7 linked regions of the Sus scrofa genome follow. The protein of the gene in region 7 purifies or fractionates together with the protein of the main gene of each other region. This does not show direct contact. Links are inferred from orthologs where the notes say so. Each region holds a gene or a part of one and is shown on either strand. Other genes may lie near its edges. The genes, in order: ANAPC16, ANAPC13, UBE2S, ANAPC1, CCNB1, MAD2L1 and CDC27.

Region 1 (4,312 bases), on a different chromosome or scaffold from region 7:
TCACAATACATCCCAAGCCAAAGCAGCACTGTTTCCATTCGATTTCTCCTATCTATAAGCTGTTTTAAGCCAACTGATGCAGTTTCCACTACACTATTCCACTGCTGGCTCACTCTAGATAATTTGTAAACTATTGGCATTCCCCAAAAAAGTGATTAAAAGATACTGAGCTTGTCCATGGCTTTGACAGAAAGAACAGAGGTCTCTTTGTAACATTAACCTTTAGGAGTAAAATGCAATCTTCTGTGTTTACCTAAACATTTGCAGTGTCTCACCCACTCTAACCAGCATGGTAATTAAGAAAAGCAGGGATATTTAATACACTTATCCTCAAGGGGAGGACAAAAGATCCTGAAGAACTTTTAGAGGTGTTAAAACTATATGCGCAACAAAATCAAAATGCCTATCAGAATCAAATATGACTTAAGCAACATGGTTCTCCAAACGAACACATTGCTGAGGGGAGGAATCCAATTTCTGTGGGCCCCCAAACTGTACATCACTTCACTGAGAGGCCAAGCTTCTAAACATCACTTAAAGAATCAATAATTCTGGAAAGAGGAGTTCCCTTCATTGCTCAGTGGTTAACAAACCCGACTAGGAATCATGAGGATGCGGGTTCCATCCCTGGCCTTGCTCAGTGGGTTAAGGATCCAACATTTCTGTGAGCTGTGGTATAGTTCCTGTGGGCTTAGATCCCCCACGTTGCTGTGGTTGTGGTGTAGGCTGGCAGCTACAGCTTCAATTCGACCCCTAGGCTGGGAAGTTCAACATGCCGTGGGTGCAGCCTGAAAAAAAGAAAAAAAAAATCTGGAAACAAAGATTCCTTATGGGCTAGCCATAGTTAAGCTCAACCAATGTTCCCACTATATGTGTTAGACGGTCATGAAGCCCAAAATAAGTTAGAGTTCCCCCTCAAAAAATCAATTCTCACTAAATACCCTAACGCTCAACCCAATCCCAGCAAGAAAATAGCTTTAATTGGTAATTTGCTTACAGAACCAAGTGGTGATTTCCTGTTGAGATTAGCAGTAAAATGAATAAAATAATAAGTAAAATAAACAGACTTGAATGTCAGAAGGGGTATAATTATCAAGTTTAATGACTTTACATCCTAGTGCCCTATTCCTCCAGGACCTTTCAAATAAATCTCTCCACAAAAGTAGATTTTAATGTTAAGGAAGGGCGCTGAGACTGAGCTCTGGGAAAGAGCGTTGTCTGAGATAGGAAGCTGTTCATCTGCCTTTCCTTGGGATACGAGTCTGCTCAGAAGGATGGCGGAATAACAAATTTAACCCTGCAGCGTGACGGTTTGGTAAGAGAGAGCAAAGCAGAAGGCCTGAAATGCCGTGCGTTAAGATAAAACCCTAAATGACAAAAGTGAGCAAGAAAAAATAAAACGAGTACTCCAAAGGTAGCGGAGAAATACGGACCCCACAGCAAAAAGAAAATCCGGGAACGAGGAGGAGAAGGACCCGGAAGTCCTCTCCGCCCCGGCCACGCCCACTACTGCAAGGGGCACGCGCACGCCGCTGCCGGTCCCTCCACGCGGGCGCGAGCACGGCGCCGCCCTTGTCGATGTTAACTCGGCCGCACCAGTCGGCCTTGGGGGCGGGGCTGTAGGGGAAAGTGCCAAAGCTGCTGAGGTAAGTGGCCGAGGGCTCAGGGACCCTCGAGAGCCTGGTGGAAAGGGACTTGATCTCTGGGATCCTACCTGCAGGGACTAGTAAAATGGAGAAAGTAGGAGGAGGAATGGGAGCCTGCCGCAGAGGGCGTGCAAGAGGAAATTTCCTTAGGCCGCGCCTGGCTAGTGCGCATGCGGGCCGAGGGCTGGCGCCTGCGCAGTGGAACGGCGCTGTTGGCGTAGCCCTCTGGGGACTCGATGGCGGGTCGGGGTGGGGGTGGGGGTGAGGCTGTGGCTGTGACTTGGAGGTAGCTTGAGAACCGTTGGCGTTCTGATCCCTCCTCTTGGCAGCCCATTTCTTTCCGCCCCACTTGTTTTTAGCTGCACATCTTTTTGAATGGTAATCCAGCTGTTTAAGTGAAACACAGCGGAATGAATGTTTTCTTGATGATGGAGTTTAATAATTGCTTCTAATAATTTGCCATTGTACCAGCGTACTTCCTTCAGTATCTTTATGATAGGACATTTTTAAAAGGAAAAGGTTCTTTCTAAGATAGGTATATATCTGCCAGGAAGGAAAGTAGTTTATGAATACGAGGTCATCCCCATCGTATATGAAGTAAATGTGTTGATTATCTCACCAATGTGAACACAGCCGTGCTGTATCTCCCCAGAGAGCATTGTTCTACTGCAAGGATCGCTACTGCTAATAGTTCCAGCTTTCCTGATAGCGTCAAATCCCAGGTTACCTCATCATCAGTATTTAAACATTTGTCAAAATTTTACAGAGCATCAACTTTGGGCATAGCAGCCAAGTGGGAGAAAGAGTTATGTAAATAGATCTGCAGAATGAGGAAGAAAAACAAAATGATAATGAACCAGTCCTCTTCATACCAATCTTCTCTAGCCCCTGGGTAACCTTTGCTGAGCTGCTCGCCCTGTGTTCTGTCATTTGTTCATTATTCAGGAGAAATTGTGATCCAGGTTCTGTGCTAGGCCTCCAGGGTAAAAAGATAACTCCTCCCCCTTTTCCTAAGAAAGGGGTTCTTCCTAAGATTATGAACCTTAAAAGTGTGAAGTGCATGTTAGTGTGAAGTGCATGTTCCCTCTTTCTGAGCAGGTTCTTTCCCCTCTAGGAGTGTGCTGACTATATGTCAAATGGAGGGAGTAATAACTTTTCCCTTGAGTGTGTTGAAACAATAAGTATGAAAAACCGGGATCTGGATAAAGCAGTGAGATCCTGCTGTATGGCACTGGGAACTATATCTAGTCACTTGTGATGAAGCATGATGGAAGATAATGTAAGAAAAAGAATGTATATATGTGTGCGTGACTGGGTCACTTTGCTGTACAGTAGGAAATTGACAGGACACTGTAAACCAACTTAATGGAAAAAATAAAAATCATTTAAAAAAACTGATCTGGCATAGGGAAAAAATGATTCAGGAAAAAATCATTAGTGATTTTGGATAACTAATATTAAGTGTTTACTGTACCTATAACTGTTCAAATTGCTTTAATTATATTAAGCTTCCTAACATGTCTGAGGTAGGCACTATCATTATCCCAATTTTAGAGATGAGGCAACTGAAGAGTAAAGAAGTTAAATGATTTGTCCCGAGTCATACAGATACGAGCCTAGACCAAGAGGCTTCAGCCTGACCTCTTAACCACTATGCTCTTTCACCTCTCACATGGCACATGACATGCCAAAAAGCCATTGTTTAAAATATGGCCCAGCAAATAAGCTAAAGTCTCTACACCTCAGTTTTGTTTGGTCATCTGTAAAATAAGGGAAGTGGATTAGATGACCTTAAAGGAGGAATCTTGTGGTTCTGTGAAATGCTTAACTCATTCAGCAAACATTTATTTAAATCAACAGCTACTTAGTATAGGCCAAGCATAATGTTTGGTTCTGGTGATCCAAGTGACTGCCTTCATAGAACAGTTACAAACTAGGGTTTATTGTTTGTTTCACTTTCATTCATCACATACCACCTGCTGGTAGCACTCAGAATCTCACCTAAATTTTTAAAGCTAGAAATTACTTGGTTGTATTTTTCCACTTAAGTGGAAAACTGCTTATTTATGTTAAAGTTAGTGCTAATTCTGCACTCCGCTTTTCAACCCTGGCTGTTTTGTGTACTGAATGGTAGTTCTGAGTTTGAAAGAAGACTATTCTTTTTAGAAAACATAAACTTTTTAGAATCTTTTGTAAACATGTAGTGTAAATTTCCATTTTGAACTTTTGTAAGGATTCATGTATTTGGTACATATTTTCTCATTTACATGTGGACTTTCTGGTTTTTTTGCTGTGAATGTGACATAGGATTGAACACTCATACCTCCTCTATTCCTAATAGGCCCTGAATTCTAAGACCATTCCTGAGCTGTTTTGTTCCAGTTTTGGGACGCCACCAAGTGATCAATTTGGATATTACATTTGGATGAAAAAGGTTTTTCTAATTTTTAATGAAAGGGCCAATATGTATTTCCTAACCAGTTCCCCTTCCTTGGGAACAGAACACAGTGTTATTCTGGAATTTTATTCGGAAAATTTTATAAGTGAATTTCTTGGTGTGGCTTGGTTAGGATGTATCCAAGACAAACTGTTCTATGAGGCATGGTTGTTTTATCCTCATATATTTTATTTCCTCAGTCAAATTGCTGCCTTGGCACTGCCATATC
Region 2 (4,172 bases), on a different chromosome or scaffold from region 7:
ACTTCCCACCCGTGAATGAACCGCTATCACCTGCCATCAATGACCTAAGTCGCAACAATGCTAAGAAGCTAACCAGATGAGGCAGCCCAGGCGAGAGGGCCTTGCCGAGGATCCCTCCCCTGAAGTGGAAGAGTGGCCCGCGGCTAACTCCGCTCCGGGAAGACGAGCAGCTCGCCCACCCCGCCGCCCTCCCGCCGGCCCGGTCTCTAGGTAAGAGCTGACCACCTGGCTGGCCGGGACCGCACGCCGAGGGAGGCCATATCCGGCTTCGCGGGTCAGCCGGGCGTCAGCGAAAAGGCCGGGGGGCGGGGCGCCGGGGCGGAGCCGGGCCGGCGGGGGCGGGCCTGGAGGCCAGCGGGCGGCTGAGGAAGCAGGCCCCAGGCCATTCGGCCGCTCGGCCCGCGGCCCCACCGCAGCCAGGGCTACCTCCAGGCCCAGAGACGGCCGCCCCTCGCCCGTCCGACGTTCGCAATGCGGTTAAGGGCTGCCGCGAGCGCTCCCCGAGCCTTCCCGCCGTTACCTACGGCTGGGGGTGCGCACGCGCGGCACCGCCAACCTGACGTCCAGCCACAGCAGTCAGCACGTTCGTTTTGCCCACTGCTCCTTCACTTTTAATTAAAACAATGTCCTCCCTAACTCCCCCTGTGCTCCGGCAAATGGGCTCACCCACATCCGGGGATCGGAAAGTGAAGGACGTCTGGGTCACGTGATGCTGAGGGCGCGGTCGGCGGGGGTGTGTGACACGCTGGGTTTGGGGCTGGTAAAAGGGTTTGCGCGCACGTAATGTAGGGTCTGGAGATACGGGAGCGCGTTCGGACTCCTGCCGTTTCTCTTGGCTTAGGTCGTTGTTTTCACATCATCCTCTCCCTCCTAACCACTTCTCTTACCACACGTTGGGCGGGGAGGAGGGGAACTTGCTTGGCTGTCCGGACCCCCCCCCCTCGCTTCCGCATTTGGTATATCCCGCCTCGGGCCGGAAGCCGTGGCTGTGGGGCGGCCTCCCAGGCCTGTATGGACGGTGGTGGCCCGAGAGGGTCATTTCTAGCGAGGGAAAAGGCGTCCCAGTTTTGCTCATGTAACTGCATGTTTCACAGAGCTCTAAAGCAGAGATGAATAAAACTGCCCTCCCCCCGGGAAACGCAGGCGTCTCGTGTCTGGAAAGACCGTGTGACAGGCAATATACCAAGATCCTGATGGGGATCATTCTCTGTGCCCAGAGAACTATGGGACCCGCGGAGGGGCGGGGACTGCGCTCTTCTGGCTCTTAGAGAACGACTCCTGCAGAAGACGACCTGGGAGCTAAATTTTTTGGACAGTTTGGGGTTAGCTGGGGAAAAAAGGAAGAAGACAGAGCATTCCAGGCATTGGGACAGTCGTATGTGTAAGAAAACTTTGTTCAGGAAAGTGGTAATGCTTCATTCTGTTGAGTGAGGCAAGTGTTTGAGACGTAGTCATTTCCTGGTCATTGCCCCTCTTTGCCCGTCTTGTGCTTTCCTTTTTTCCAGCCCCTGAAGAGAGAAGGCACCTTAGCGCCTAACTCTGGAAATGGCATGTTGGTTCTGATGAGCTGACGCCAGCTTTGAGTTTGGAAGGAAAAATGGGTGTGTTAGTGATGGGGTAAAGAACTTTGAGTGCAAAGGCTGGAAAGGATAACAGAGTTAGAGGTGTTCGGAAGAGGGACAGGTGAAAAAAGATTGAGGCCAAATTGAGGAAAGATGTGCTGAGTCACTGACAAAAAATTTTACTACACACAGCAATTGGAAGCAGTAATACCTGAGCAGTTGGTCACAAAGTCGACCTGACTTGGTTAGTAGATCATAAGGACAAAAGGTAGATCAAGGGCAGGATGTGGGCTGAAGCTGGAGTGATCTGAGAAACCCTTACAGAAAGGTGGGATCTGTGTGTGACTGGGAAAATCAGCTGGAAGGGACTGTGATCTTGTAAATAACCTGACCCGGATGAGATGAGTCTTTCCCAAAGTGATATCATGCCAAAAGACACATCCAGGCTAAAAAGCTTGGAGAACCCCTAGTGCTAGATTACATCATCTCCTCATGCTTAAGAAATAACCTCTTTGGCTTTCAGATCTGGCAAGAGCAAAGCTGCAGGAAAATGGACAGTGAGGTACAGAGAGATGGAAGGATCTTGGATTTGATTGACGATGCTTGGCGAGAGGACAAGCTGCCTTATGAAGATGTTGCAATACCACTGGTAGGCCCCTGCTTATTCTGAGGTGATGGGTTAAAGGTCTGATATAGTAGAAGTAGGATATCAATGGGCACATAAACTAGTAAAGCAAAGAAATCAGTGCTGTAGAGTCCTCTAACTCTAGAATCCTCTGAAGAACAATTATCTTGTTTTTTTTTTATTTGAAGAGAAATGTGTTTCAGAGAACTGATGTGACCAGCTCAGTTAGGGGTCATGCCAGAACTAGAGCCCAGGTCTTCTGAGCCATGTTCTGTCTGCCACACCACAGGTGGGTTTATCAGTTGACATTTTTAGACACTCACATTTTTGAAACACACACCTATCCTAGGTTCCCTGGAAAATACTCAGAAGACACCTGGCTTTTCTTTTTTTTGCATTTAGACCATCGAGCTCTCTTGTTTCCTGATCTTTGGAAAATTCTGCAAGGAGTTTGTTAAATCTCGTGTTATAAGTTATCTAAACTTTTTTTTTTTTTTTGAATGAGGGCTTATTAAAATTTGTATTTATGTTACCAAGGCCTAACAAGGAGAACAGGGAGTTTTCCTTTAGAGCCTACCAACTTTCCTAGGAAGAGCTGGTAATAGAAGACAGCTTGCAGGCGGACTGCTGCTGCCATTGACATTTCATTTAAGAATAAGTGATAACAGAGTTCCCTGGTGGCCTAGCAGGTGAAGGATCCATCATTGCTGTGGCTCTGGTCATTACTATGGCATGAGTTCAGTCCCTAGTCCAGGAACTTATGCATGCTTAAGGCATGGCAAAAGGGGGGGGCGGGTAATATGTTCAATGAATAATACACATAACACATAACTTAGTTCAAGTTTAGAAAAATAGTCAAAAGCGCATACAAGAACTATAGCTCCACTTATCAAATACCTGTTTTGTGCCATGGACCAAGATCGAAGTCTGACGTATATTATCCCTGATGCTTAAACTTCGGGGTGGTGGTGTTACCCTCAATGTACAGGAAGGATATAGGATCAAAGAGAGGAATTTGCCCAAAGGCTGGTAGCTGATAGGTTGGACTTGACATCTAAGTCTCTGAGACTCCAGATCCTGTTCTGTGGACTTTTTTGGTATCTTCATTCCACAAGCAACTCTTTGAAGCCTACTGTGTGCCGTAAGACTGGGTAAACATAAGTATAGTTTCTGCCCCTCAGGGCCTAGAGATGCAACATAATAAGTAATTTTAATAGTAGGTGCTCTTAGTGGGGGGTGATAAACAGCTACAGCCAGGCAGTAGACATCAGGAAGGGCCTCAGCGAAAAAAAATCACATTTAAGCTGGTCACGAGGAAGGACCAGAGGTTTAGTGGGTAAACAAGGGCCCTCCAGTAAAGGGGACAAATGTGCAAAGGCTTAGAGTTTTGAAAGGCTTTGGGAGATGGTGAAACCTCCGTGTGGATGGAGGGTATACTCGTCATCAAATGTGGTAAGAAAAGTTGGTGTTGGACCCAATTCTGAGAGGAGCATTGGATGCCATGCTTAGCCCTCATCTTAAGGATATGCAGGAGTGAGTGGTCTTCAAAGTGGAAATCTGCCTTCTCACTCACATAGATTAGAAGATCAGCTTAGCATTGTTAAAGAATGTCTGTTGTGGAGAAAGGGTTCAGTGACAGGGCAGAGACCAGTTCGGATGCTATTATAACGTCTAGACAAGGAAGAAAGGGCCTAAACAAAAGCAGGAAAGTGGAGGGAGTTGCTGAATTCTGGACATGCTAACAGCAGAATTTCAGGACCATTTATGTAGAAAGGGTTGAGGGAGAAGGAAATTTCAATGCCGACTTCCAGGTTGTAGCCGGGCCGTATTGCTAATCCATGTCTTTTCCCAGGGCCTGCAGTTCTAAGGCAATGTTTGTGTTAGTTAGCTTTTGCTGCTGCCTAACAAATAACCCCAAAACATAGTGCCTTAAAACAACTGCTGTTTATGTCCTGATTGTGACACTCAGCTGAGAGAGTCTCCTG
Region 3 (4,136 bases), on a different chromosome or scaffold from region 7:
CCTTCCTACGCCCCTGGCCCCGACTTACTGTTCGGCAAAGGCTGTGTTCCTGGCGGGGTACACTGGCTCACTGTCTGGTTCTCCAGGAGCGCGGGGTGCTGTCCCTTTTACACTCTGCTGCATCCCCACAGCATCCTGCCTGCCCCATGGTAGGTGCTCAGAAAAAGCGGACTGAATGCATGCGGGAGTCCGGGGGGCATCCCACGACACGCGCCCCACAGGGCCGTGGCAAGGGCTCGGGGGACCCCGGCGGCGCGGGCCCGGTCAGCGCGGAGGACGCCACCACCGCTCCCCGGTTCGCCATAAGTCACCGTCGGCTGGGACAGCTCAGCTGCACCGCCGCCTCTGCTTGTCCCCACGGGGGACCCTGGGCAAGTCACTCGACCCCCCTCTTCCTTCGGGGTCCTCGTGTGTTAACGGGGCGGGAAGGTCCGCATTCAGCGGGCGGAACCTGCAGGTCGGGTGCGGGGCGCCCGCGCGCCCCTCCGGCGCACGAAGACCGCGAGGCTGTGGGAGTCTCGGCACCGTCCTGCTCCCTCTTCCTGAAGCTGGGCCCCCGACGGGACACCGTGGCCCAGCTGGACGCTCCGCTCCGGGGCTGAGCGGCCCTGAGGCGGGCGCCGCGGCCGCACCGCACCGGGGCCAGGCAGGCCGCGCAGCTCCTCGGCCTCCGGCTCTCCGGACAGGGTCCCCCCGGGGCACCCCGGGCCGCTTCCCCCGACAGGCGGAGGGAGCCCCGGCCGGGGCGCGGCCGGCCGGGGGCCCTGGTCAGTCACAAGAAGGACCGCGCCCTGAACAAGGCCAGGGGACTCTTCCTCTTCTCACAGGAGTAAACTGACGCCCGGCGTCGCAACCGAGGCCTGGCCGGGGCCAGAGGTCACACATGGGGGTGGGGGTGGGGCCGGTCGTGGAACCTCTGCCAACACAGGACACGGGTCATAGGTCATTGCCAGCACAAAATGGCGCCTCGCAGAAATACGTCTATCAATTCGCGGTGCCCACCCCCGCCACAGGCTGAGGAAGGGGCGCAGGCGTCCGGGCACACTCATCTGCATACACAGAAACGAACGAAGTTAATTGGCTGCGAGCGCCTGGGTCCGCGGTAGGGAGGACTCCCATTGGTTGCTCTCCAATTCTCCCGTTCCCTACTGGAGAAGGCCCCAGTACGCCTTCTCCAGTAGGGATTGGCCTCCGCGTGTCTCATGACGCCACGCCACGATTGCGCGTCCCCATTGGCCGGACCGCCTTCCATCATCCTTTTAAAACCCCTCAAGTCCCGCCTCTCTTTGCTCGGCTCGGGCTCCCGGGTCGACCGTTAGTCGCGTGCGCGATTTCCTGGGCGTCAGGGCGCGAGCGCGTACGCCGGCGTTTCATTCAAACGGACCAATCAGCGGTCGCGTCACCCTTCCCGTTCTCTTCTCTACTTCCCCTTTTCTACCTCTCCTTTCTCCTGGATTTCCTCCCTGACCCCCGTGCGCACGTATTGGCCAGCCTGCCCCGCGCCCCCTCCCCAGTTTCTCCTGCTCTTGCCCGCAGTTTGTCGAAAGGGAGCGAGCTCGTCGAACGCCAAGGAGTGTGCGCACTGACGTCACGAGTCGAGGCGCGGCGCGAGGGGCCCCGAGGGGGCGAGGCCTGTGGGCGGATATAAAAGGGCGGCGGTGTGCGCGCGGCCGGCTTAGTGCGGTCGGGCGCCCGGGGCGGGTTTACCTGCTCAGGCGGTGTGTGGCGGTCGTCGGAGGCAGTGGGGCGCGGAGCCGGGCCGCTGGGGCCTCCCCAGGGCCGCAGCGGCGGCAATTGGGCCCCCCGCCCCAGCCAGCGGCCGGAGAGCGCAGGAAGGGGGCCGGGGGGACCCGCCCCCGGCCGGCCGCAGTCATGGTGAGCGTCGCGTCCGGGCCTGTTGGGGGGGGGGGGCGGTCAGGGCCCTCCTGGAGGAGGAGATGGGGTCTCAGGAGCATCTCTCTGGCGGCTGGGGGATTGGATGGCCCAGTTGGGGGTCCTGGGTTAGGGCTGGGCCCAGGGGCCCTCCTGTAGGCGGAGCGGGAGGGGAAGGCCCAGCTGAGCTCCGGGAAGGGCTCCGGGCTTTCGGGCCTGCCCGTGGGTGTTCCGGGAGTAACGACACTCCGCCGCCATCTCCAGGCCGGAGCTGGGGTTTCCAGGATGGTCTTCCCAAGTTGAGGTGTGGAAGGACACCGGGGTAGGGCTCGGGCCTACCCGGGACCACTGGGGGTCCGTATGTGGGGCTACGAATGGGCTTTAGGGACTTATGGGGAAGGTGGAGTCATCCGCCAGACCTTGGAGATCCGCTCCATTCCTAATGGGAGATTCACCTGAAGCCATCGCCTGAAGCACCCTGGATTGGGAGTGTCTGGGAGCTCGGGGTGATTGGCCAGACTAGGACTGCAGGGGCAAGAAAAGTAGGGCGGCCACCGCATCCTAGGTCCTGCAGGAGGCCCCAGGACCAAAGGCCCATGGCTCGCCCCCTTTTTTCCACATCTAGAACTCCAATGTGGAGAACCTACCCCCGCACATTATCCGCCTGGTGTACAAAGAGGTGACGACACTGACAGCTGACCCACCTGATGGCATCAAGGTCTTCCCCAACGAGGAGGACCTCACTGACCTGCAGGTCACCATCGAGGGCCCTGGTGAGTGTGGGTGAGGGAGGTGCGCTTCCTAAATCCTTGGCATCCTTGGAGCGGGAATAGGAAGCTCTCAGTATAAGGTGGGCTGCCAGACCTGTGACGGGCACACCTGGTACGCATGGTGCTCATGGGCTGCAGGGCGGGAAATCGCAGTTGTGTATACTTTCTCTGAGAGAATTGAGAGAAAATCCTGGGGGTCCTATCTGGTTTGGGTGTCCTCACACCCAGAAGTATGGGAAGGAATTGAGTGGAATTGGGAAGAGGGTGCCAGGACGTGGGAATGGTGTCTGAGAGGCCTGGGGGGGCGGGCTAGACGATTGCAAATTCCTTCCTGCTGTCAGTGTCAGGGGCTTTGAAGACCAAGCAGAGAACAAGCCAGGTGCAGTCTGGCGGGCAGAGGGCAGTAACAAGCAAATGAGTACCTGTGATCGTTGGACCACACACAGTGGTTCAGCGTGTTACTGCGTGTGTGCTACATTTCACTTATTAGTGGAATTTCTCTTAATCTCAGCGCCGAGCAAGTGATGAAGGACCTAGATGGGAGTTCGGCTTGTAGGGAAGGATCAGGGCGGACTTCTCCAGGGGTGTCGGTTAGAGTGTGTTGATGGGTCCCCAGAGGTTTTTGGCCGACTCCGTGTGTACCTTACGGGAACAGGAAGGAGGGAGACTAGAGAAGCTTCTAGGGGACATATTTCAGTGTTTGTAGGCTTTTTTCTAAGGAGTTTGGAAAGGAAGGGGCTGGTGGGTGTAAAACAGGGGTAATGGGTGCCTCAGAGTTCCTTTGACCAGTGAGGACGGGGCTGGGGGCCAGAAGGCAGAGGCGGTCGGGAAGCTCTTGACCATTGCTAGTGTCCACAGGTGAGAGGAGTGACCAGACTTGGAGGTAGGGTCAGATTCAGGAGAGGACCTGAGGTCAGCTGCCCAGGCTGCTGATGGGTTGGATGTGGGGGCTGAGGCATGAGGATGTTTGTCTGGCGGGGAGACTGTGGAGTTGACAGCTGTCTTGGCATTGGCCTAGCAGGCTTCCAAATAGCTGTGGGTGTGCATGGCCTTGCCACTTGGCAGGGGTGGGGGGGGAGAGGCATCCCATGGGTGGGAACCACAAGCCAAGGGGTTACCTCTGAGGTGGGGGGGTGCCTCCTGGGAACCCAGTCCTCTCGCCCTCTCCAGAATGCCTGCCCTGAGCCTAGTCGGTGGAGACTGCCCTTTAGGGCTTTTCAGGGTGCCCAGGAGACCTGAGCCTCCTGACCCAGTTGTCCCCTTCCCCGTCCCTTGCCTTCCAGAGGGGACCCCATACGCCGGAGGCCTCTTCCGCATGAAACTCCTGCTGGGGAAGGACTTTCCTGCCTCCCCACCCAAGGGCTACTTCCTGACCAAGATCTTCCACCCAAATGTGGGCGCCAACGGTGAGATCTGTGTCAACGTGCTCAAGAGGGACTGGACAGCTGAGCTGGGCATCCGGCATGTGCTGCTGGTGAGTTAGGGCTGGGCCTG
Region 4 (4,029 bases), on a different chromosome or scaffold from region 7:
AAGAAACAGACCTCTGCAATTTCAGTATGTTGTTCAGCAAACGGAATCTTTTATATCTACCACCTCCATTCTCCCAATAAACTATAACAACTACAAACATCTTCTTTCTGGAATGGTTTGGGGAAGAAAAATGGAGTCTTCTACATGTCCCATCTAAATTCCTCTAGAACTACAAAGGATTTAGACTACTAGGATTTTGTTCCAGAAGCTAAATGGAGTTGCTTGAAAGCATCACTTCAGTTCCCCATCAGATTACAAATTCTAGATCCCTGTGCTTCTGGTATGTTCTTTAGTAGTGGCTGAGTAGAGATTCCTATATCCACCATCCCAATCTCCTCCAATCTTCAACTGCTGGACACTTGTACTTTTATGCTGATTCAAGACTCTGCTAAGCAGCATCTCAGTGCTTCAGTGAATGCTGATGTCTAGATATTTGCACATCCCAGATGTTCAGCATGGCAAAAGGAATCCAGAAGTTGCAAGGGCTAGACACTGGTTCTTCCAGTTTGTCATTCACCTCTCCAAATGTAGTCTCTTACACTGTCTAATACCAGTCCTGTTGACTCTTAAACAACACAGATTTGAACTTTGAGGGTCCATTTACACTCAGATTTCTTTCTTTCTTTTTTCTTTTTGTCTTTTTAGGGCTGCACCTGCAGATATAGAAGTTACCAAGCTAGGGGTTGAATTGGAGCTGTAGCCACTGGCCTACACCACAGCCACAGCAATGCCAGATCTGAGCTGTGTCTGCAATTTATACTGCGGCTCATGGGAATGCCGGATCCTTAACCCACTGAGCGGGGCCAGGGATTGAACCCCCATACTCGTGGATACTAGTCGGGATAATTACCATTGAGCCACAATGGGAACTCTAGATTTTTTTCGATAAATATGACACCAGAGTTCTTTTGTGGTGCAGCAGGTTAAGGATCTGGTGTTGTCACTGCAGCAGCTTGGGTTCTACTGTGGCCTGGGTTTGATCCCTGGCCTGGGAAATTCCACATGCCATAGGCATGGCCATAAATAAGTAAATAAGTAAATATGGTACCTTATATAAATATGCATTTTTTTTTTTTTGGCCATGCTTGTGTCATGTAGAAGTTCCTGGGTCAGGGATTGAACCTGAGCCACAGCAGTGACCCAAGCTACAACAGTGATAACACTAGATCCTTAACATGCTGAGCCACCAGGGAACTCCCTATTTTTCAAGTTATGTTTTCACTTTTGATGTCTAATGTTAGTCATACGTGTACTATCTACAGTGTTTTGTATCATATAAGACTATTTAATATCAATATAGGTATTGACATGTTTTACATCTTTTAAACACGTGATATAAACTTATGGTATTGGTAAATACAGTACAGTACTATAAATGTATTTTTTCTTCCCTAATGCTTTCTTTTTTTTCCCTAAGGCCTTCTTTAAAACATGCTCTTTTCATCAGTTGTATCATTTTTTAAGATTCCACATATAAGTGGAATATGATATTTGTCTCTGACAGTTTCACTTAGTATGATCATCTCTAGGTCTATCCATCTTGCTTGCAAATGGCAATATTTCAATCTTTTTATGGCTGGTAATATACCATTGTGTATACATACTATATCTTCTTTATCTGTTCATCTCTTGATGGACACTTAGATTGCTACCATGTCTTGGCTATTGTGAATAGTGTTGCTCTGAACTTTGGGGTGCATGTATCTTCTCAATTAGAGTTTTCTCCAGATATATGCCCATGATAGGGATTGCTGGACCATATACTAATTCTGTTTTTAGTTTTTTAGGGAACCCCTATACTATTCTCCATAGTGGCTGCACCAATTACATCCCCACTAACAGTTGAGGACAGTTTCCTTTTTTCCACACCCTCTCTAGCATTTAGTATCTTAGACTTTTTGATAATGGCCGTTCTGACTGGTGTGAGGCGATACCTCATTGTAGTTTTGATTTGCATTTCTCTCATAATTAGTGATGTTGGGCATCTTTTCATATCCTGACTGTCTGTCATCTGTCACATCCCCGACTTGAGGAAAACTGCTACAAGGCTGTTTTCTTCCCTCTCCATATTTTCAGTTGAGCATAGGACTTTCTGCTGCCTTCCCTCCAGGTTTCCTCCTGCCCCCAAGCACAGCAGCAGGCTCCTGGGTACGTATGTGAAACTGCTCTGCTGTACTTTAGAATTAGCTTCTTAGCAGCAGATCCCCTCACTGTTCACATCTGTTCATCTGGCCCCTTGAGATCCGTGTCACCCTGAGAGACTAGGGATGCCAGGTGATGTCACCATGCTGATGTTACTTTTGCTGTCAGTGTAATAACCAATCTAAATCCATTTGGGCTTGTTGTCTCCTTACAGCCAAATATACCCCAAGTGACCACCAGCCTAGGAGTCAGGGACTGCTGGATCAGAAAGCAGCGTAAATGGAAATGGAGTAAGGAGATGATGTCAGAGAGGAAAGAGGACCACGTCTTCTAAGACCTTGTCAGCCACAGGCAGGACTTTGACTCTTTTGCAGGGAGAAAGCAGGAACCACCAGTGGAGTTGTGATTAGAGGAATGCCAAGATTTAGCTCACGTTGTCAAAGGATCACATTAAAATACATTAACTCTAGCGGCTGCCCCCTTGGCCCCTACACACTTTATCACTGCGGGGCTATCTCTTTCCGCTAGTGTTCTGCACTTTTTCCTTGACGATCTTCCATGACCATCACGTCTTTGACAAGGGGACACAGTGGTTCTTCCCCCGGGGGGAGGAGAGTTCCTAAAGGCCAGGGCTGGTCTCTCACCTTTGGCCCGATACCCGAGGCGGTGTAGGCGGGGAGCGCTCGGCCGGGAGCCGGTGGATGCGGCGCTCAGAAAGATCGCCTACCACTGTGGCCTTGTCCTCTGGGAGAGCTGCTGCTGCCTGAGTTTTCTGGGTCCACTAAGCCTGGATTGCGGGGTCGCCGCTGCCCGGGAGCCGCTGGCCCCTCCTCTTAGGTCTGGTGGCTGCCTCGGGCGTCTTCTACTCCTCTGGAACTTTATCTCCTCCCTCTGTCCCTCCCACCTGCACGTGTTGGACGCCGGGACCGCCCAGAGGCCTGGGCCGGGTTCTCCTCTCCACCTCCGGTCGCCCCTCCCCTTTACGGCCCCCACCTCCTCCCCTCTCTCCTGTCCCCTCGCCCCCACCCCACATCCAGGTCCGCCCAGACCAGCCCCTCCCCGCCCCTCTAGTCCAGCCTTGTCCCCTTACTCCTCCTCCTCGGCCCTCCTCTCCCCCCCGCCTTCCCGCCCGCTTCCCAACCCAACTGGCTAGGGTCCGCTCGGACTCGGCCCCCGGCCCGCCCCCTCCAGCCCTCAGCGCCTCCCGCCGCTGCTCGGCTTCGCCACTTCGGGGTTGGAGCTGCCCGGGCCGCCGGTACTGGGCCGCTTCTCTGGCGCGCTTGGCGGACGACGCGGCGTGTTCCAGACGTCTGTCTCTCCGTCGGTCCAGAGAGAATTTCCAGATCCGCGCCCCAGGATGGGACGGGCTCTGCTGCTGCTCTTGCGGTGGCTCCTCCTCCCCGCGCTCTGGAGGGGAGGTGAGTGCCCGGGGCCAGGGGCCCGGCGCTGGGGGCTGGGGGCTCGCGGCCGGGAGCTGGGAGGTGGGAGCGCACCGACCTGGGCGCACCCGGCTGCAAGAAAGTTTGCAAACATCTCCCCGCGCCCCAGCGGTGCCAGGCGCTGGCGCGCAGGAGTTTCTAGCAACCCACTGTCCCCGCACCCAGGCTGGGTCGTGGGCGCGCGTCCCGGTGGAGTCGGGAAGGGGTGGGTACCGAGGGCTCCCCTTAACCGCCCAGGGGGAAATCGAGCTTGACTGGAAGCGCTGCAAGCCCAAAAGTTTTGCGCGGAGAGGAACGCTGGTCGCAGGTCTGGCGCGGAATGCGCCAGAAACTTTGCCCTGGACTTGGTTGCGCGGTTGGACCCTGGCTGTGGCGGGAGTTCTGGGAGCGGCAGACCCCATCTCCAGGGGGACCCGCGCCCGGAGACCAGCAGACTGTGGGAGTTGGG
Region 5 (4,189 bases), on a different chromosome or scaffold from region 7:
TCCTTAGTCTTTATTTCAAATTATGGACTGTTTCCCACTGCCCAAAAGAACACAAGTTCTGTTCTGACTACTAAGGATTAACTGACTTGTTATCACAAACCATTTTCCTCAAGCTCCAGTTACCCTGTGGTCCAAACATTGACTGAGCACTTTCTTCAAATCAAGCCCTGTGCTAGACACTGGCTTTATGATGTCCTCAAGAAGCTTTGAATTTAGAAAAAGTAAATGGGAGTTCCCGTCGAGGCTCAGTGGTTAACGAATCTGACTAGGAACCATGAGGTTGAGGGTTCGATCCCTGCCCTTGCTCAGTGGGTTAACGATCCGGTGTTGCTGTGAGCTGTGGTGTAGGTTGCAGATGCGGCTCAGATCCAGCGTTGCTGTGGCCCTGGTGTAGGCCAGTGGCTTCAGCTCCGATTAGACCCCTAGCCTGGGAACTTCCATATGCCGCGGGAGTGGCCCAAGAAATGGCAAAAAGACAAAAGACAAAAAACAAAAAACAAAACAAAGAAGTAAATGAAGTAAAGAGACTGATTCTGGGAACAAGAGTAGGGTGGGGGAAGTTAAGATGGGGATGGGGGAAGTTAAAGAAAGCTTTGGGTGTTGATGCTTGAGCTGTTATGAAGGATGAAAAGGTTATCAGTTACATGAAAGAGGGTGGGAAAAGTATTCTTGTAAGTGGGGAAGCAAAGGTTAGAATCACTATGGGACTTTTAAATGAAAGCTCAGGTCATGAGGTATGGTCAATTAAAGAGTGGGGGAAAAAAAAAAGGAACAAATGAAAACCACAAAAAAAATCCCATAAAACAAAGACTGTGCATGCTACAGTTTTCTGTGCTGTGTCCAGAAGGTCAATATTAAATCCACAGCCTCAGTCACATCCCCTTCCCTTAGACATACAATGAGGCTGAATGACTTTAACAGACCATTTCCCAACCAGCTTTAAGGAGATATTAAAAATTAGTACTTAAGAATGCAATTCATTGCAATTTCAGCCAAGCAGCCTCTTCTAGATGAAATATTTTTCCCTCACAGAAGAAGATACATTTAATATCTGATATTTAATAAAAAGTTCTTGGTGTTGAGGCCAAGTGTTAAGCCATCTTCTTACCCTGCTCTCTGAAGAGCTACATTTTCTGCTTTACACATTTATATATTTCGGTGTTGGCTTATTATTATTTGGTGGCCACATTAGGGAGTAAACAAAAAGGACTTAAAGAGAACAATCTGTGCTTCAGTCAACATATTCTGGTCAGAGATGACTGGTACCTTAAAGACAGCAAAATCTTTGGTCCCTGCAGCTACCACTCAATACCGTAAACAAAGGAGGGGTAGTAAAACAAAGCAATTAAAAGCACAGTTTCTGAAGCCAGATAGGCTGGGTTTGAACCCAATTCTGTCATTGACTAGATGTGACTAGAAGAATACCAGTGCTGAGTATACTATTAACGTGAGCTAATGCATGTACAGTGCTTAGCAGAACCTACTTCCTGTTAAGTACTATATAAATGTTACTATTACTACTATTTGTTCAAATGCTATTCCATACTTGAATAAAATGAAAGGAAACAAACAATCAACAGACTCTAAAATGGTCCAGAAAGTTTACCAAAATAGGTTCAGGGGAAAGTTTCTCTCCTTTAACAGGCTCAGGTTCTGGTTCAGGCTCCAGTTCAGGCTCGGGCTCCCTCTCTGGCTGGGGCTCTAATACAGGTACAGGAGCCTTTTCCAGAGGTTTCGGTAGTTTTTTAGCAACAACTTTTCCAGCAGCTAAAGTTTTTGCTTCCTGTGGATGAAAAGGAGAGAATGGATTGTTTCTCCACCAAGAGCCACAGCTGGAAGGGAGACACTCACAGAATAGTTGAATCAGCATAGTTACCTTTTTCAGAGGCAGTTTGGCCTGTGGCTGTTCACTGACTTTGTTACCGATGTCTCCAAGAGCAGTTCTTGGCCTCAGTCCGGGCTTAGAGGTTGCAGCAGAGGCCACAGGCACGCGCTTTGCGCCTGCCATACTGATCTTCGCCTTATTTTCAGCATTAATTTTCGTGTTCTGTAAGAAGCAAGACGAGTCTGGGAGTTGGCCCCGCCACGTTAAAATAAGTCAAGGGTTAAAGCGGGGCAAAAAAAAAAAACAACAAAAAAAACTGCGGCCCTCAGAAGGAAAGCCGACTGTGAATGGGTTCCCAGGGGAAACCGGGGTTCCAGGGTCTACGCTAAGCTTATGACAAGTCAGTTTTCTCCTGGAACCTCTCCGTTCACCTATTGAGGGATTACGTGCTCAGTCCCCGCCGGACCTAAAATACCATGGAAATCGAAAAAGCCTTCAATTGCAGGCACCTTCCCTTTCCCTCAGGGAAGAAGATTGCGCAATTGGTGGGAGCCCACTCGGGTCCTCCAACACCTTTTACAAAAGGTTTCCGGTCTACCCTCCATCTGCCCCCTCCCCCCAATTAGTCCAAGGCCCATCCGCTTCTCTTTTGCACCTTTCTCTCTCCGTCCGTCTGCCCCCCAAACTCTCCCAGTATGTTAGGGGCCCACCGACCGCCTTCCTCCTCTCCAAATTCGCTCCCACCGTGGGGGAACTCCAGCAGGGGAAACAGGGAGAGGAGACCCAGGAGTCAGGAGAGCCGCGTTTGTTCACCAACCGCAGCAGCTCACCCTGGTGATCCGGAGCGCCATGACTTCCTCTGTACCAGGCCAGGCAGCAGCTCAGAGGGGAGAAGCAGAGCACTGGAGCCCCGACCAGCCGGGGACCTTGAAGCCACCACTAGCTAACAGCCGTTCCTCCGCAGCACGCCGGGAGGAATCCGGCCCCGCCTCGGGTTTAAACCCCGCACCGCTCCCTCCTTATTGGCCTGTTCGTGGCACTCGCTCACTTCCCATTGGCGGCGGCCAGTTCCTCCGAAAATGCGTTTCCAAGGCGATCCCGCGAAGAAGTTCGGGCGGGGGCGGGGCCAGGCCGTCACGTGGTCTGACTCGGCGCCTGCGCCCTGGGGCAGCCGCTACTGCCACCTGATGAAGGGAGGGTTCTCTTTGCCCCACACCTGGAGCAGTGAACTTGTAAGCGACTAAAGTTAGCTGAGACAAGTCACAGCGGCCTTGGGAAAGGAAGAGTGGAGCTCCTTGTTTGACGTGAGGGGCAGTTATGGCTTTAGTCCTACTTGTTAAACACACTTTCCTCTCCTAGAGTGGCTTGTAGCAGGAAATACTTTTATATATACATTCTTTTTTCGTTTGTTCATTCCAACAGCACTCTGGGATAAAAAGGAGGCTCCGAGATGCTTTGGGTGACTCCCAGGATCACAAATTAGTAACACGGGATTGAACTTCACTTTCTTTGGATCCATGAGGTTTCCACACACTAATTGTCTCTTAATTTTGCAAGCCAGGCTGCCTCTTAACCTGCCAGATTACTTCAATCAAGTTGTTTCCCAAAGCCAATCTTTTTCTTTTAGTTTTTTACTTGAAAATAATTTCAAACTTACAAAAGTTTCAGACAAAAATGTAACAAGGAACACACATAGAGCCTTTATCCAGATTCAAATATCCTTAACATTTTTACCCCATTTGTTTTATGGTTTACTTAATCTTATATATAGATCTATGTATAACTGTATATAAATTTTTTTTCTTGGAAATACCTGTTGTGGCTCAGCAGTAACAAACCTGACTGGTATCCATGAGGATTCAGTTTCCATCCCTGACCTTGCTCAGTTGCCCTGAGCTCTGGTGTGGGCTGCAGATGTGACTTTGATTCAACCCCTAGCCTGGGAACTTACATATGCTGCACGTGCGGCCCTTAAAAAAACAAACAAACAAACAAACAAAAAACCACTTAAATATTTGAGGGTAAGTTATATATATCATGGCTCCTTATCTGTTAAATTTTTAGTGTGTATTTCCTAAGGAAAAAAGCATATTCTCTTAATGTAATCACAATAGAATTAGCAACTGCGTAAATTTACTATAACATTTTATTCAATCTAGTTTGTATTCTAATTTTGTCGCTTGAGCAGTTTCTAGCACTTTCTTTCCTCCAGTACAAGATCCAGCTAGGGTCAGTGTTGCATGTAGCCTCCTTTAGTCTGGAACAGTTCCCACAGCTTTCCTTTGTCTTTGTTTTTTTTTTTTTTTTTTTTTTTGTTTTTTGAACACTGATGGTTTTGAAGAGTGCAGTACTCCCTGCCACTTT
Region 6 (4,239 bases), on a different chromosome or scaffold from region 7:
AAAAAAAAATAATGGCATTTGCAGCAACATGGATGGACCTAGAAACTATCATACTAGGTGAAGTTTGTAAGACAGTGAGACACCAATGTCATATGCTATCACTTATATGGGGAATCTAAAAAAAGGATACAGTGAACTTCTTTGCGGAAGAGATACTGACTCAGACTTTCAAAAACTTACGGTTTCCAAGAAGACACGTTGGGGGTTGGGGGATGGGCTGGGGGTTTGGGATGGAAATGCTGTAAAATTGGGTTGTGATGATTGTTGTACAACTATAAATGTAATAAAATTCATTGAGTTAAAAAAATCAAGCTGCTTGAAACAAAAAAGATTCATTTAAAATTAAAAACATGGAAGCAACATAAATGTCCACTGACAGAGGAATGGATAAAGAAGATGTGGTACATATATACAATGGAATATTACTCAGCCATAAAAAAGAATGAAATAATGCCATTTGCAGCAACATGGATGGACCTAGAGATTATCATACTAAGTGAAGTTAGTGAAAGACAAACATGATAGCACTTAATGTGGAATCTTAAAAAAAAAAAAAAAATACAAATGAAGTTATTTGCAGAACAGAGACTTTGAAAAACTTATGGTAACCAAAGGGGAGAAGTGGGGGAAGAGGGATGGGGTGGGGGATTGATTTGGGATTGGCATATGCACACTGAGGTATATGGAATGCTTGCCCAATAGGGACCTGCTGTATAGTACAGGGAACTCCACCAAACAGTCTGTGATGGGCTACATGGGAAAGAAATCTGAAGAAGAATGCATGTGTATACATGTATAACTGAATCACTGTGTTGTACAGCAGAAATTATTACAACATTGTAAATCAACTATACCTCAGTAAAAACTTAAAAAAAAAATAAATAAAGATGAGGGCTGTAGTGTTTTTTAGAACTTTGGAAGATCAATGTGTGGATATGGAAAAATATCCTACAACACAGAAAAATTAGAAATGAGAACCCTAGGTGGAGACAAACATGAAAGAGAAACTAGAAATTTTAGAAGAAAGAAGAGGAATAGATGGAGAACAAGTATTAATTAAACAATACTGACACTTCTTGAGCTAAAAGGAAAAAATAAGTATTCAGACTCACATGTAGGATTTAAGACAAGACAATGGAAACAGGTGAAAAGTAAGAAAATTCTAATGGTGCTCTGTTATTTGGTAGTTGTTCTTTTTAAAGTTTAGTCCCCAGGTTGAATTCAGTTTTGCTTCCTTCATCTTAATGATGGCTTTAGACTCCATGCAGCTACAAATATATATATAGTGGATTTTTCTCAGATAATGAACACCAATATAATTATGTAAAATTCCAACATGTTCCATTTGGTCACATAAACTGCAACACTCATTTCTAAAGGAGTTGATGGGAATTGTTTCATTAAGCCGTATCGCGTTCCTAACATGAAAATATTCAGCCCACTCAAAATGGGGTAAAGATGGGACTTCTTTTTGATTTATTTTCTTCCTCCCAGTTATTTCACTATATTTGAGATGGTAGTGTGTTTTACACCACCAGGTATACAGATGAAAAATGACCAGCAAGCTGCTAGAAAATGGATCCTAGAATGCTGGCAAAACTCAAAACTGTTTCCAACAATGAAATACCTTTTAGTTGTTCCACCACATTATTTAGGTATTTTATGAGCTCAGGATCAGTAGTTACAAGCAAGGTAAGTCCGTATTTCTGTACTCGAGTAAAGGTTTCAGATGGATATATGCCACGCTGATATAAAATGCTGTTGATGCCAAACGCTGAAAACAAAAGAAATGTTAAAAGTCATTTTCATTTTGTAATTCTGAGAAATAAAACATATTTAGTCATGTGGCTATGGTTTCATTAATGGTGTAAAGCTGTAAATGTTTAAACACGCGTTTGTGTTTTGCTCAAAGGTACAAAGTGAAATTAAAAAGCTTTAAAATTTTGCTTCTAAACAAAAAAGTGGTATCTGCATTTAAGTGGCAATAAAAGAAACATGGCAAACTGCATTTATCTACCAGTGCCAAATTTCATTTCATTGTAAAACAATTCTAAATTCAGACTTTATGGTTAGAGGATGTCAAAAGAAGCAACTGAGTCGTCCAACGCCCAGGCAATCCTCTCCTTTTTTTCCTCCTTTTCTTCTCACAAGTCCTGCCAGGTTCTATCAGAAGGTGCAACTGGCCTGGTCCAGAAGAACGCCTCCCCAAGTCTAGCCCATTACCGTCAATCCTGATTCACCTCGGGGTGGGTATGGGGTTTGCTCCCGGCTAAGCGGTTATATCGCCAGGCAGGCCTCAGCAGAACCTAGGCCGCCTCCTCCACCATTAGCAACGCATCCGGAAGAGGCGCCTGCATCCGCCTCTTCCAGATCCCTCCTGCCTGGCAGTACGCTGAGACTGAGAGGGCTCGGATTCGCGTCCGCTCTGACCCAATGGGTTCTCCCCGCCACCGTACCGAGCCGCGGGCCTACTTGGCGGCCTGGGCACAGTTCTCCCCGCTCTCCGGCCTGCGCGAGAAGGACTTACAGAAGAACTCCGCCACGATTTCGGCGCTCCCGCGCAGGGTAATGCCTTGCTCCCGGGAGAGCTGCAGCGCCATGGCCAGGCCCACGGATGAAGAGACGCGCTTTCACGCGGCAACCAGCCACACCAGTGACTTCCAGAGTAGTTCCCCGCCACCGGTTTCAAAAGTAACGACGCAGGACGCCGTCGACTCTTTCGCGCAGGCGCAACGAGCCTTTAGGCCCCGCCCTTACACCACGGGGTCTGGCTTGTTTTCTCCTTCCTCGCGTAGCCGCTCTTCGCGCCTGCGCAGTGGGTGGACGTGCTCACGCTGTTGAGTCGTTGCGTCGCGGTGGGTTCCTTGTGGAACTCCTGCGGTAGTTGGTTGGCTAGCTGGGGGCTTGCGGCAAAGACGGTATATCGCGGTTTTAGTGGCCGCGCCTTGAGTCTTCAGGCAGAAGGGGTAAGGAGCACAACTCCTGAGTTTGAAAGATATTTTGAAAATGCTCCGATCTGTCTGCTAGCTGTACCTTAAGTAGCCCCAGTGATTCTTAGTGGGCGGGCGGAACTCCTCAGATGCTTTGGGAGTTTCTAAAGCTACTGCGTGCGCACCACAGTTTTATTAGAGACCCTGATTACTTGTGGGCGCGCGGCTTTTCCTGAGAAATTGGTTTAGGGATTAAAGGGATGAACTGCGTCCATTCTTCTTTCCCTTGTCTGTTCTGGGCAAAGCTCACGTCTACTCCTCACCCCGACCCTCTGCTAGGCTCAGTCTGGGGGCAGCCTGAGGCTGTCTCTGATGGTCCAGCTTGCACTCTGCACCCCGCCATCCTTCGGCGACTGGTCAGGAGTAAGGTCACTTCACCAAAAAGGCCTTTCAACACTGAAGAACTTTTCCGTGAATTTTGAATTTTATTGTTAGGATGAGAAGTACTAAAGAGATAGCGCGCAACTAATGTGCATGTCAGTTGTTTTGAAACAAGTTTATTCTTAAAGTGGGTAGAAAAAATGTAAAATGAAATCTGAAAAACTTAACCACCTTACATAATGTTATTTAATTGTATGAAAAAATGCCTGAGTGTATTAGTTTTCTATTGCTGCATAATAAATTACCACAAATGAGTGGCTTAAAACAACACCCATTTATTATCAGTCCTTCAGTCAGGAGCATGGCGTGGCATAGGTGAGTTCTCTACTGTAGTCTTCACAAGTTTGAAATAAGGGTATTTGTCTGCAAGTGGGATCTTACCTAAAATCAGGGGTCCTCTTCTGAGGCCCTTGGTTCTTGGTAGACTTAATATCCTTGTTCTTGGACTGATGTCCTCACTGGCTTGCCAGCTGTTGGCAGAGGCCAGTCTTGTGCTTTTGCCAGGTAGCCCTTCCATAAATCTCAGGCTTCCAGTCTCTGACTTCTGGGAGGTCCCTTTTAAAGGCTCAAGTGATTAGGTCAGACCCAGTCAGATAATTTCCTCTTTGATGAACTTAATCCTCAAAGTGATAACTCCTAATAATCACTACTCTGGCCACACTAAAGTGGAGGGATTCTATAGGATAGGCTCCCTGGAGGCCACAAATTTTGAGGACGCCCTTAGAACTCTGCCTATTCAGTGTTATATATCAAAACTTGATCAGTTTAAAGACTGAAACAGGTATAATATGTAATAAGTTGATTTGATCCAATAACATTTTCCTTACATCCTTTAGTTTCTGTGGTACAAGTGTGTGTGTGTTTAAAT
Region 7 (4,022 bases):
AAGCAACAAGGATTTACTGTATAGCACAGGGAACTATATTTGATATTTTGTAATAAACTATAATGGCAAACAATCTGTAAATATATCTGCATCACTTTGCTGTTCACCTGAAACATAATATTGTAAATCAACTATACTTGAATTTAAAAATATTGCAAAGACTTTTTCTTATCTACCAAAAAATAAAGTTTTGATAGTTCCCTGTTCACACATTCTGGGGGGAAAGGGAGCAGGAAGTAAATTTGAGAACCTCTTAGAGTTTGTTAGACACAGTCACATACTTTAATGCATTTAGTTCTCTTAATTGCTTTTTTTTTTCAGACTAAGGCAACAGAAGTTCAGGGAGGTTGTGACTTGCTTAAGGACCTAATACAATTTAGTGCCAGAGATAAAATTCAAAACTAAGCCTCTGAATTTCCCAATACACCACAATGCCTCTATCAAGAATAAAAAACTCTTCCCTCCTGAGATTTTTCCATGATCTGGCCACCTAAATAATCATTTCCAGTTAACGTACCAGATCTCATTCTACTTCCTTCTATTTTCTCCTTTCTTCTAATTCTACCCATCCTTCGAAACCAGTCTGAAACTTCCTCATCTCAATCCTAATTAATTTCCCTTTCCTCTCTTCTGAATGCTCACATCACCATATAATGTACTATTCTTTGTTACATTAGTTTTCCGTTAAATAGACAATAATCTCTTTGAGGACCGGGGTCCTACAAAATCTTCGGGGGTGGCAATCCTTCCAATTTCCTATTTTCCTTTTGAGCCTTGAATAGATAGTTCTGGAATGAATGAATGACCTAAACTCAAAATACAGATAATTCTTGTTTAACTAAAGTCAACCCCAAACTCTTGGGTTTAACCCTTTGCTTAATCTGCAGCGCACCAATTAATCCAGCAAGGTTGAGCGGAGAAGCAAGGCGGCCACCGGGTCACGTAACGATCCCAGCTGACTCCTGCAGCCATGCCCAGCCTACTGGTTGCGGATTGGGCGTGCCCTAGGGTGGCCCATGGGGGGCGTGGCGTGCGTGAGTGAAGGCATGGCGTAGAAGTGGAACCTACGCACTGGGTTACACTCGGTAATCTCCGGTAATCCTCGACAATTTCCGGCAACGGTCTCCTCCTCCGTCGATACACCTCGGGTATTTCCGGTTTCCTTCGGTCATTTCCGTCTGGCTCCCGCCCCGGTCTCTCCACTTCGGGTTTTTCCGTGTCCCTTTCGGAAGTACTCGGCAATCGCTCGGCCTCCCCCATCCCCCGGTAACGGTCGCTGGTGAGTTTAAATGAGCCGGGGCTGGCCGGGCCGGAGCCGCTACGGGGGGGGGCCTGAGGCACTGCAGAAAGTGGGCCTGAGCCTCAAGGATGACGGTGCTGCAGGAACCCGTCCAGGTAATGGTAACCCCCTTCGCTGAGGCTTGGCTCGCAGCCTTGGTCTGGAAGCAGCGTATGGCCACTTCGCGGCCTGGTGCGGCCTAGGCCCGGCTGCTTCTCCCGCCTCCCCTCTCGCCGGCTTCTGCCTGTCTTCTCGTCAGTTCCGAAGCCTTGCCCGCAACCTAAGCCGTGTTACCTCTGGCCCTACATTACTTCTTCCCCCAGCAGGAGCGGGGTTCGTTGATAAGACCCCCTTTCCCTTCCAGGCCAACGTCGAGCGAACCCCTTCTGTCAGTCTGGGGGCCGGGCCCGGGACGGGTTTGGGATGAGGGGGCGGAAAACTAGCCCCAGGTGCTCTCTTGCCTGAAGATGATTGGGAAGCATATTTGATCAGCGTTTGCAGGATCTTCATAATGGTGGGGCAAGTTTGCGGGGAGAGTGTTGTTTTTGATTTTGTTTTTGTTTTTTTGTGAGTAGGTGGAGGGAGGGTAGGATCGGTGTTTTTAATACTAATTTCTATTTCGGTGACAGACTTTGTAACCCACGTTGCTTTTCTCGCCCAGTAAACTTCCTTCTGGACAATGATTTCCGTCGAGAACTCCAAGGCCCGGTGCTGAGATGCAAGCACCTATTAAAGGGGAGAGGGTGGAAACGGCAAGTTGGGTTTTTTCCATGACCTATGATGGGAATCAGGAGTGTTTTATTGTACGTGTTTATAAGGCGTTCAGGAAATGAAAGGCAGATAATGATTTTTCCGTCCGTACCACACCAAGGTATGTTTTGATGCAAAGTGCTCCATTGGCTTGGAAGGAACCCTATTGGATTTTAAGTGTGTGATGATGCAGTGCCAAGTCATTCCCCCCCCCCCCAAGACATCTGAAGAAACTGAATCTTTTGTCCCTTGGTGATGGACCAGGTCTGGGAGACTTTATGCCTACCCTATGATCTTTGAATTGATTAAAAGAGTTGACCTTTATCAACTACTGTCTTTGAGTCAGGGACTTTCTTTATTTTGAAGTTAAAAAAAGAAACCAATTTTAGAAGTTCTTTCATATTGCCCTTAATAGGCCTATTCACTACTTACTATTGGTATCACATAGTAAAAAATTTAATACATCACTCCTTCCATATTTCCTTAATTTTTCTTCACAGGATGAAATACTATTTTCTCCTAGTTGGCTCTTTCTCTAGCTCTTTTCTGTATAGCAACTATTAGTTTTTTAGTTAATATAATGTGAGATTCTATCCTGGAAGTTTACCTGTTTTTACATTATACTGGTGCTTTCAAAGCTATTTCCTTCCATCACTTTTCTCTTACTAGTAAAGAGTCCCTTTTTAAGATTTTTTTTTTGAAGCCTAACATGAAATTGGAAGTTACTGTCTGTACCTTTTTAAATGGATAAGCAAATCACTTAAATCGTTTAATTTCTGCTTCAGATTTTTGTAATTTCAATAATTAATGATATATTTTCCTTCTCTGGTCCCCAAACCCTTCTAAAATGATAAACTAGTTTTATTACTAACCTATAACAACTATTTATTAACAATTTAAACTTACATAAAAACATAAAGAAAATATGTAGCCAATTCCTTGATAGTACCAATCGAGTTTCCTCTTTTTCTTTAAAGTACTCTTAACTCTAAAGCATTTAGGGTATTTTTAAGGCTTAAAAGTCAGATTTGTCTTGGAGTTCCCATCCTGGCTCAGCAGTTAGCAAACCCAGCTAGCATCCATGAGGACACGGGTTCAATACCTGGCCTTGCTCAGTGGGTTTAGGATCCAGCATTGCTATGAGCTGTGGTGTAGGTCGCAGACGTGGCTTGGATCCCACATTGCTGTGGCTGTGACATAGGCAGGCAGTTGCAGCTCCAATTGGACCCCTAACCTGGGAACCTCCATATGCCGTGGGGGCAGCCCTAAAAAGACAAAAAGACCCCCCCCCCAAAAAAGGTCAAATTGGTCTTTTTTTTTTTCCTATACTACCTTTATTAGATTTGGGCACAGTGGTAAGATGAGTGAAGATAGAGCTAGGTGAGAATTTTGGTTATAATTTTTACTATGAGAAGAAGCCATTCAAGAAGGGATCTGGAGCAATAGGATCTTTGGCTACAATGATAAAAATCAACTGATAGGAATAGTGCTGAAAATGGGAAGGAATTATTAAAAAAGAGAATAAAAATAGAACAGCTACATAAGATACTTTTTTTAAAACTCTAGTAAGTGATTGCATGTATTTGTGAAGGAATGAAAGAAGGTATTTCCTTTCTAGGGATGTCTCTGCTCAAGGTATTACTAGGCCTCCTTGGAAAAAGTTGAGAGAAAAGATGAGCAACTGTTTTTTGCTTTTTCTTTTTTAAAGTTTTAGCATGGAGTAGCCAGTTTGATTTAAACCGTATAAGCCTAAATACAATTCTCTCTCTTAGAAAAGTGTTACTTTATATTTGAGTCTTTACAAAAATCTCTATTATGAGGCAGAAATTTTTGTCAGTTATTTTTAAAGTAACTGGGAGATAAATTAGCCTAAGTGACTTGAATCAGTGTTAATTTGGATCTTAATAAAATTCATCTGATGAAATTTATTTATTTATTTATTTATTTATTTATTTTTTGTCTTTTTGCTATTTCTTTGGGCTGCTCCTGCGGC

The links.
Region 1: the proteins of CDC27 (region 7) and ANAPC16 purify together in Homo sapiens (affinity purification with mass spectrometry; 10 studies listed by BioGRID and IntAct, with this or other methods). This does not show direct contact. The link is inferred for Sus scrofa from reciprocal best matches to the Homo sapiens genes CDC27 and ANAPC16.
Region 2: the proteins of CDC27 (region 7) and ANAPC13 purify together in Homo sapiens (affinity purification with mass spectrometry; 5 studies listed by BioGRID and IntAct, counting the BioPlex papers as one, with this or other methods). This does not show direct contact. The link is inferred for Sus scrofa from reciprocal best matches to the Homo sapiens genes CDC27 and ANAPC13.
Region 3: the proteins of CDC27 (region 7) and UBE2S purify together in Homo sapiens (affinity purification with western blotting; 4 studies listed by BioGRID, with this or other methods). This does not show direct contact. The link is inferred for Sus scrofa from reciprocal best matches to the Homo sapiens genes CDC27 and UBE2S.
Region 4: the proteins of CDC27 (region 7) and ANAPC1 purify together in Homo sapiens (affinity purification with mass spectrometry; 16 studies listed by BioGRID and IntAct, with this or other methods). This does not show direct contact. The link is inferred for Sus scrofa from reciprocal best matches to the Homo sapiens genes CDC27 and ANAPC1.
Region 5: the proteins of CDC27 (region 7) and CCNB1 purify together in Homo sapiens (affinity purification with western blotting; 6 studies listed by BioGRID, with this or other methods). This does not show direct contact. The link is inferred for Sus scrofa from reciprocal best matches to the Homo sapiens genes CDC27 and CCNB1.
Region 6: the proteins of CDC27 (region 7) and MAD2L1 purify together in Homo sapiens (affinity purification with western blotting; 29 studies listed by BioGRID and IntAct, with this or other methods). This does not show direct contact. The link is inferred for Sus scrofa from reciprocal best matches to the Homo sapiens genes CDC27 and MAD2L1.

Annotation. Positions count from the first base shown.
Region 1 is NC_010456.5:75,081,169-75,085,480, forward strand, and holds the start of ANAPC16 (anaphase-promoting complex subunit 16), read left to right. Parts: upstream 1-1,504; 5' UTR 1,505-1,646; exon of another isoform or gene 1,647-1,813; intron 1,814-3,987; exon of another isoform or gene 3,988-4,080; intron 4,081-4,312. UniProt on the Homo sapiens protein: Component of the anaphase promoting complex/cyclosome (APC/C), a cell cycle-regulated E3 ubiquitin ligase that controls progression through mitosis and the G1 phase of the cell cycle.
Region 2 is NC_010455.5:75,602,201-75,606,372, reverse strand, and holds the start of ANAPC13 (anaphase-promoting complex subunit 13), read left to right. Parts: upstream 1-1,357; 5' UTR 1,358-1,381; exon of another isoform or gene 1,382-1,432; intron 1,433-1,754; exon of another isoform or gene 1,755-1,806; intron 1,807-2,085; 5' UTR 2,086-2,112; coding exon 2,113-2,211; intron 2,212-4,172. Other genes in the region: CEP63 (centrosomal protein of 63 kDa), read right to left, coding at 226-260. UniProt on the Homo sapiens protein: Component of the anaphase promoting complex/cyclosome (APC/C), a cell cycle-regulated E3 ubiquitin ligase that controls progression through mitosis and the G1 phase of the cell cycle.
Region 3 is NC_010448.4:59,567,676-59,571,811, reverse strand, and holds the start of UBE2S (ubiquitin-conjugating enzyme E2 S), read left to right. Parts: upstream 1-1,327; 5' UTR 1,328-1,872; coding exon 1,873-1,875; intron 1,876-2,497; coding exon 2,498-2,645; intron 2,646-3,925; coding exon 3,926-4,116; intron 4,117-4,136. UniProt on the Homo sapiens protein: Accepts ubiquitin from the E1 complex and catalyzes its covalent attachment to other proteins. Catalyzes 'Lys-11'-linked polyubiquitination.
Region 4 is NC_010445.4:44,482,741-44,486,769, reverse strand, and holds the start of ANAPC1 (anaphase-promoting complex subunit 1), read right to left. Parts: upstream 2,810-4,029; 5' UTR 2,787-2,809; intron 1-2,786. Other genes in the region: MERTK (tyrosine-protein kinase Mer), read left to right, coding at 3,500-3,560. UniProt on the Homo sapiens protein: Component of the anaphase promoting complex/cyclosome (APC/C), a cell cycle-regulated E3 ubiquitin ligase that controls progression through mitosis and the G1 phase of the cell cycle.
Region 5 is NC_010458.4:47,336,858-47,341,046, reverse strand, and holds the start of CCNB1 (G2/mitotic-specific cyclin-B1), read right to left. Parts: upstream 2,809-4,189; 5' UTR 2,677-2,808; coding exon 2,656-2,676; intron 2,048-2,655; coding exon 1,877-2,047; intron 1,784-1,876; coding exon 1,607-1,783; intron 1-1,606. UniProt on the Homo sapiens protein: Essential for the control of the cell cycle at the G2/M (mitosis) transition.
Region 6 is NC_010450.4:103,925,931-103,930,169, reverse strand, and holds the start of MAD2L1 (mitotic spindle assembly checkpoint protein MAD2A), read right to left. Parts: upstream 2,813-4,239; 5' UTR 2,601-2,812; coding exon 2,528-2,600; intron 1,775-2,527; coding exon 1,628-1,774; intron 1-1,627. UniProt on the Homo sapiens protein: Component of the spindle-assembly checkpoint that prevents the onset of anaphase until all chromosomes are properly aligned at the metaphase plate.
Region 7 is NC_010454.4:16,809,662-16,813,683, forward strand, and holds the start of CDC27 (cell division cycle protein 27 homolog), read left to right. Parts: upstream 1-1,206; 5' UTR 1,207-1,289; coding exon of another isoform or gene 1,290-1,368; coding exon 1,369-1,395; intron 1,396-4,022. UniProt on the Homo sapiens protein: Component of the anaphase promoting complex/cyclosome (APC/C), a cell cycle-regulated E3 ubiquitin ligase that controls progression through mitosis and the G1 phase of the cell cycle.